Bombyx mori: one gene and its partner. The protein of the gene in region 2 purifies or fractionates together with the protein of the main gene of each other region. This does not show direct contact. Links are inferred from orthologs where the notes say so. Each region holds a gene or a part of one and is shown on either strand. Other genes may lie near its edges.

Evidence for each region. The genes of interacting proteins can lie anywhere in the genome.
Region 1: the proteins of DNA-directed RNA polymerase III subunit RPC4 (region 2) and DNA-directed RNA polymerases I and III subunit RPAC1 purify together in Homo sapiens (affinity purification with mass spectrometry; 6 studies listed by BioGRID and IntAct, counting the BioPlex papers as one, with this or other methods). This does not show direct contact. The link is inferred for Bombyx mori from reciprocal best matches to the Homo sapiens genes POLR3D and POLR1C.

What each region holds. Positions count from the first base shown.
Region 1 is NC_085131.1:5,578,886-5,583,084, forward strand, and holds the start of DNA-directed RNA polymerases I and III subunit RPAC1, read left to right. Parts: upstream 1-1,397; 5' UTR 1,398-1,995; coding exon 1,996-2,049; intron 2,050-2,128; coding exon 2,129-2,429; intron 2,430-2,810; coding exon 2,811-2,930; intron 2,931-3,402; coding exon 3,403-3,585; intron 3,586-3,681; coding exon 3,682-3,909; intron 3,910-4,199. UniProt on the Homo sapiens protein: DNA-dependent RNA polymerase catalyzes the transcription of DNA into RNA using the four ribonucleoside triphosphates as substrates.
Region 2 is NC_085113.1:12,563,572-12,567,528, forward strand, and holds the start of DNA-directed RNA polymerase III subunit RPC4, read left to right. Parts: upstream 1-1,156; 5' UTR 1,157-1,269; coding exon 1,270-1,430; intron 1,431-2,429; coding exon 2,430-2,563; intron 2,564-3,385; coding exon 3,386-3,498; intron 3,499-3,867; coding exon 3,868-3,957. Other genes in the region: uncharacterized protein LOC101743779, read right to left, coding at 1-50, 539-620. UniProt on the Homo sapiens protein: DNA-dependent RNA polymerase catalyzes the transcription of DNA into RNA using the four ribonucleoside triphosphates as substrates.

The DNA.
Region 1 (4,199 bases), on a different chromosome or scaffold from region 2:
TAGAATCGATTTACATATATAGGCCCGGGGTATGAAAATTATGGGGACCAAAATCGTACTAGCATGTCACACGAAATGCGTTATGCGCCTGATTGGCTCCTGATTGCGTGATGCGTGCGCGCGCCAATCAGGAGCCAACGCGCGGCCGCGTTATCGCAGGTGACGCCGGGCTGCTGCGCCGGCAGTCCGCCACAAAGCCTCGTACTGATCGCGCGTTTCTCTCATTATTGTATTTTCATATATTTGTTAGTCGTTTGTTTTGTGTCTCGTTAATTTGTTAATAATCTGTAGTGTATCGTGTTGTCGTAATATAGAACTATTTCTCGTATTGTTTCGTTTAATTTTTTATATCCAGTAAACTCCAGTCGTGCGTCGGAGCGGACACACACACTTTTTTCATTTCTTTCTGTTTCGATTTACATAAAACAGACACGACTTCACTTACTGTAACAAAAATTAGGATTGTATGGTCTTTGATCCTTTTGCCCAGCGAGTTGTCAATTCAAACAAGTAAAAACCTCTATTTATTTTCCAATACGGTACGGTACCGTACCGTAAAATGGGGCGATTAGGGACAAATTCCAACTTTATGAGCAATTTTAAGGTAGTTGTTGATGTATATAATGCTATATCAGGATCAAAATGATTGAGTCTTGGGGGCATCTTTGTTGTCTAATTTAAAATTATGCAACTAGCATTCCAGTTTAAGCAAAAAATGCAAAAATAGGTGTAATCTCTATTTACCCGAAAATTGCGGTTAATTGGGATGTAATGAGAAATTTGCTAGGGTTGGCACTATTTTTATTTTTATATATAGTTTTAATTTATTTATTTATTTAGTTGCACCAACAAAGTGATCATCAATAAAAAAAAATGAAAAACTGACAAAAGTACATGGCAGACATCACCTCAATTATAGGTGCAATCGACAGTGCTGATATTTCTATCTGGGTTAAGAGATTAGGTGTGTCGGTTATTCCATGGATTAATCAGATGAATACCCCCACTCTGAACAAATATTAAATATTTTATTATGTATTACTTAGACATTTTTGTCCACCTTGAGATTTCATTGATCTTGTTACATGTCTCTGCAAAATCGACTTACTTATATTAAATTGCTTATCTATTTCAAATAAAGACTTATTCCCAATTTCGCTTCGAATAAACCAGATATTTACCAACAAATTCAAAAAATATTGTTATAACTACATAGACAACCCTACAAACCTGTACCTATTTATACTTAGGTCGTTTCCATTTCACGTATTCTCATCCCAATTGACCCCTTTTTCGTTGTTATTTGTACCTAAGACGTCCCCAATAACCCCAAAAACAACAGATTTTTACATGTATTTTTATTTAATCAAATACATTAAAAGCAATAACAACTGAGACTTACCTTTAATATATATGCTGGTTCAAACACTAAATAACGTTTATAAATCATAGTCGTCTTCTATTATTATCAAATAAATAAAAGAGAGCAAAGTTTCTAGCACTAAAATAATGACCACCACAGGAAGTTAATTTGAAACGCGATTTTTTATAAGTTAGCAGCTATTATCATGCATATTCAGAGTTGTTTTGTGAACTTTCAACATTCTACTATTAAACTACAAAAAATGGAAGATTTTGCAACGAATATAAAACTTATATTGAGCGTCGAAAGATTTTCCCGGTTTTTTCCCGATTCGCCTGTCAATCCCTAATCGCCCCATTTTACCGGTACCGTACCTATGTACCTACATAAGTACAAACTTACATTACTTACTACATAGTCAAAGTTTAAATTACCTACTAAAAATTACTTAAAATCACTACTTAAGTGTATAATCTATGATCACTACCTTACGTAAAATCATCGAAATATTTAATTTTGTCAATTATATCTGTATAAAAATATGCGACAAACTTTATATACAGTAAACGTTACTGTATACCTGTGAAATAAGATAAAACCTTATTTACATTAATTAGTAAAATATTGCAAAAATGCCTAAATTCGATGAAAAACCCCGAGTTTTTCTTGAAGAATTCCGTGTTAAGGTTCTCCTTTAAATTGCAAGACTTATTTACAACGATAAAAATGCACATGATCATAACCTAATAATTTTTGCCCGTACAGAATGCACCCGAAGATTACGGATTAGACGATGAAACATGGGACTTCAAAAAGTTTGTGAAGAAGTTTAAGATAGTTGTAGTACGAATGGACAATTTCGAAATGGAATTTGACTTGATTGGGATCCAGCCAGCATTTGCGAACGCATTCCGGAGACTCATGTTAAGTGAAGTTCCTAGTATGGCTATTGAAAAAGTAATGATCAAGAACAACACTTCTATAATACAGGATGAAGTTTTAGCACACAGATTAGGATTGATTCCTCTCAAAGCTGATCCAAGATTGTTTGAATATAAATCTGAAGGTTTGTGTACAAATTATTACAAAGCCGAGACCATATGTGGGCATTCGTTTTGGAAGATGATTGTTTTCTGTGAAATTGGTTGTCTAATTATTTTTTATTTATCAATTACGTAAACTAGTACACTAATAAAACCACAAATATTCATTTTTCTAGTATCCTAAAATTGACAATTTAGAGCTGGAATGCAAGATGTTATTAAATACTCACTTTTATACCTCAATAAACATTTATATCTCATAATCAGTAAAGTTTTCACAGCCTAAAGGATAAGATGCCTGGTCCATTTTTATTATTGTAACTATGATGAAATAAAAAAAGTTAACAGAAAATAAAAGAATTGTTTGAGCAGCTCTTGTAAATAATTTGAAATTTTATTTTCAGAAGACACGGAAGGAACAGAATTCAACACTTTAGAATTTTCACTAAAAGTAAAATGTACCAATAGCAAGTCACAACCAAAAGATTCATATAGAGCTGAAGATTTGTATGAAAATCATAGTAGTGAGTTTTCTGTATATCAATATAATAATGTGTAACAAACAGCCTATTAATGTTTTTAATATAACAGTAGATCGCAGATCAGCATATGGCCCTGGTATTAAGCTTGCTGCAGTGCATAGATATAGGTGATTCACTCACATTAAGATATGGGATTGAAGTTTCCATTCCATAGCAAAACAGCTATCCTTACAAACTGGATTCCTTTGCAGTAGAAATGGACAAGATAAATTATGACTACCAATACCAAACTTATAGAATGTTACTGCCATTTTCTGGTAAATTTTTTAGCCACCTGTAACAACACCATGGTAAGATATAGAGTGGTATTGTTGTATGCTGATAGGACAGAACACAGAGCTGATTTTTTGAACTATGGACTAATCTATGAAATTTATATTTATAGTTTTTTTATATAATGCTAGATGATTTTGTTATTCTTAATACTTAGTTAATTACAAATATGTTTATACAGTTTATTCATCCCATATGAAGTGGCATCCAATTGGCAACCAAGCTACAGTTTATAAAGAAGCTGATGTGGGTCCTGTACATAAGGATATTCTTATATCAAAAATGAGACCTGGCCATGAAATAGACCTTCAAATGATTGCCGTGAAGGGCATAGGAAAGGATCATGCAAAATTTTCACCTGTTGGTTAGTCCCTTCTTATGAATATTTTATAAAATGAGATAAGCTTATTTTAATTATTAAAAAAAATGGTTTAACTAACATATCCATTTTATTCTACAGCAACAGCTACATACAGATTGCTGCCAGAGGTAACACTGACTCGTGAAGTTTGTGACAGTGAAGCCACACTGTTGCAGAGTTGTTTCTCACCAGGTGTTATTGGTATTGACTCTAAAAACCGAGCATATGTGAAAGATGCAAGATATGATGCATGTAGTCGTAATGTTTATAGATATGACACAATCAAAGATTCAGCAATCCTAAGTAGAGTTCGGGATCATTTCATATGTAAGTAGCCATATGTAAATTAATGAAATCATAAAAATGCCACAAATAATTACATGTGCAACAGTTTTTTTGCTATCAATGCTGGTTACCTCAAGGGGGTCTAGCTTCACCTAACGTGTAGGTAAGCTTACAGGCTCAGTCTGGCGAATTTGCTAACACTAGCCCTAGCAAGGGCAGTGCTTCTCAGAATCTACCACTGGATCGGAATCGCGACCCAGTGAGATGATCTGGTGAGAAACTAAGTGGGCTGTGTCTAAGGTTTAATTTACAAACCCAAAAATCTAAAAAAG
Region 2 (3,957 bases):
TGGTTCATTTGGTTTTGTGGGGCCTGCTGAGACTACTTTGCCCATGTTTTCTGAAAATCACTTATTAATTGAAAAATTACTACATAACAATTGTTCATGAACATATTTTTTGCCATTTTTTCCATCAGAAATGTTTAAGGTGATGATTTGCGAAGGTTGCGCAGTTACGAAAATTGATGAGCATAGCCGACGACTGGCTTCAATGGTGTATATTGGGGGAGACCTACGTCTAGCAGTTTGGACAGTTCTAGGACTTTGGGCTGATGATGATTTCTAATTGTAACAATATGTCATTGTAGGCAAAACATTCGCATTGAAAAATGAAAATATAGTCTGATGGACATAGTTTGTAAGTGTACAGCTGCTGCTAGATACATTACGACGTGAACCGACTTAAAAGAAAAAGTAAGTTATATAATTAAAACATAATGCAATTCATTCAAGCTGCGGTTTCCTAATGAATAATGTGTGGTCTCATTTAGCTCAGATATATTATTTTTTAAGAGTGGTAAAACTTTTTAAAATAAATTATATTTACCTATATTATGCAGAGGTTGCCGGGAAACATTTTTCACGGCCTGTCTAGTAAGGTGATCTCCAAAAATATCAAACAGAGACATTGTGGCTAAATCGAAGGTTAATTTCGATAGACTGATTTTTTCTATATCGTCGTTATTTGCTATTGTTTAACGAATTTCAAACGGCTACTAAAGTTCAGTGTTCACTCATTTTCAAAACAACGACGAATCAACGGCAAAGAACATATGTCATAGATTATAAACTAATAGAATGACCAGCCCTTGGCGAATAATATATTAATAAAAATATGTAAAAACAATATGGTAAAATATATCACAGTACCGTATCATAAATAAAATGTAAAAAGCTAAGAGTATTATTCACCCGTTTTAAACTATATTGTACAGCAGAGTACAAGGGAAAGTGGAGCCTAGTCAAGCTAGTAGAGCTCTTTTGTGGAATTTTATTTGAGAAAGGGACCCTGAGAATTGAGCCCGAACTAATCCCATCTTACGTTCTTACAATATAATATAATACCTATGTGTACAAATCAAAATCACTGGAAATATTATGTACATTTTACACAGTAGCATTGCGCCAGCCATTTTCCAAAAGTCTTGGCTGTATAGCATGCGTTCCTTTTGTATGTCAGCTGCAGCTGATGTATGTTTGAAAACATTTTTATAGGTTAGACAAATAAAAGAGTTTCTAAATTTCAAACTAATATATTACTTTGAAAAAGAAATTGCAATGTCCGGTGATAAATCATCTAAACCGAATGGACTGGGTACAGATCCCATGCAGAGGCTCGCTTCATTAAAAGCACCCAGAGATCTTATGCTTGGAGGAGTCAAACCAAACAAAAAAGTCTTCACACCTAACTTGAACGTAGCTCGGAGTAAAAATAAAGGGTGAGTTACATTCAGAATGTAAGAATACATTACAGAGATGGTTATTTTTTGCAACCACCACAATATCGCCATCAATTCTGGACACATTGGGCACTCGTTAAGAACTTCGCTTTCGTGAGGCACTGACCGAGCAATGTACTCCGTTGACGGAATGTGAAACTGCGAAACCATTATGCCTTGGGTGGATTAGTTATTTCAGTTATCAGCCACAATAACAAAATGTTCTACAAAAGTTCACAGTGCACATACATGACTTACTTGCAATCTGAAACCGCTCTATATTCTAAAATAATAATAACCCTAAACCATGGCTGCTGACAACTAACCGTAGTCAAGTTTGTAATTTTTAATCTTTGACTTAAAAAATAAGAAACATTGATTTCAAATGAAATATAATACCTCTAAAAACCTAAAATGCCAAGCTCACGTCATCCCCTAGTTAAAAAAAATCTAGCATCATCGTAATAATCTTAAATACTGCAACATTATGTTTGTATGCAATCATCATCATAATCATTATTTCCTATTAGCCTCTGCTGGGGTGTAGGGCTTGAATCAAATTTTCCATTTATATCGGTCTTGAGCAGTCTGTTCTAGCTCCTCCCACGTCATGCCCAAGACACCTAGCTCCTGTTCCTGTTTGTATGCAAGTTATAAAAAATCACAAATGTGGCTTTTAATCCTTTTACTACAGGAGGCTGACACGCTTCTGAACTGTCAGCATCCCTGTAAATATATAAGGTTGATTGTTTTTATTTATATATTACAGAGCCAGGTAAATGGATACCAGTGTCTTTAGACCACTACCACCACTTTAGCACACCACGAATGCCATGATTAACGTTTAGATATGAGGTTGAAGCCTCAATTATATTGTGGAACAGCTGCCCCACCCTTCAAACCGGGATGGAAATAGTGCATTACCACCATTAGTATAAAATTAGAGTTATTAATATATTTTGATCTAGTGTAATGAAATTAATTCAAGTATAATTATAGACAAGCAACAACAAGTGCCAAAGAAACAAGGAATGAAGAGAAGAACAGCAGGGATTCAAACAGGAACCGGAATTTTAACAGGAATCAGAGAAATGGGCCAACACTAATAAAATCTGCTGGTGTCTTCTCTGAAGGTTAACATTTTAAATAAATAATTTATTTGTCTTCTATAATCATTAGCTACCCATCAAAATAACTGATAATTTATTACAATATTATATTAACAATAATATACAATATTTTTGTTGTTGCTAGTCATAGGCATAATTAAAATTTACAGTTTAATATCAGGTTATGACCACAAAACCTCCAATGTATTCCAAACATTGGAAATAAAGTATTTATTATGTTTAATAGAGTTATTGATGATAAGAAAGTAGAATTACATGTAAAAATAATAATATATATAGTCAGTTTATTTTGCCAATGATGTTTGTGCGGTAATCACTATTACATCTATCAGAATACATTTTTAAAACCAAACTGTTTTGTTGCAATTGAGATGATACATTGACGTTAGTTCCTATAGATTTCACCTTACACAATGAATGAATTCATTTTCATGCCATAATTAAAAGCTATTGTTAAAAGTGAAATGACCATGGCTTCATACAACCGTATCAATATGTTAGTTTAAATTGTTTGAATGATTCATCATTTGTTTTTATAAATCCACGAAACATTCTTCCAATCTCCCGTACAACTGAGTTCTGTGAATCATAGCTACTAAATTAATACAAAATCATTAATCAATCATTAAGTAATGATGTTGAATTCAATCAATGAATGACTCTATTTTTTTTAATGATAACATTACATTCAGAACTTCACAATTCAGACAGGAGTAAGCGTTTAAAAATAGCTGAGCTTTATTCAGTTTGATTACTCCTAAAAATTAAATGAATACTGAAAATTAAGCCAGTCAATAATTAAAAACTCAAAGTAATTGATTACAGGCATCGGTTCATCAGAGAGGCATTCTTCAAGTCGCTCGTACTACGGGCGGGACACAGAAAAAACTACAAACATTATGAAGAAGCCAGCTATCAGAGTAAAGGATTTCGTGAAGGTATTTACATTTAAATTACATTCATCGGTTAATTTTGTTGTAATTAAAATCGTGTAATAAAAATAAAAACCGCAAAATTGTAATTTGCGTAATTACTGGTGGTAGGACCTCTTGTGAGTACGCACGGGTAGGTACCACCACCCCGCCTATTCCTGCCGTGAAGCAGTAATGCATTTCCGTTAGAAAGGTGGGGTAGCCATTGTAACTATATTGAGACCTTAGAACTTATATCTCAAGGTGAGTGGCGCATTTGCGTTGTAGATGTCTATGGGCTCTAGTAACCACTTAATAGCAGGTGGGCTGTGTGCTCTTCCACACATTAAAGCAATAAAAAAAAGTGACCTAAATCCACTATCTATATCTTTCTAGATCGACAAAGAACTGGAGGAGAAGAAGATAAATATGATTTTAAGAGGAGGCGATACTGACGAGCTGGAGTCCATCGACTTTAAGGACATC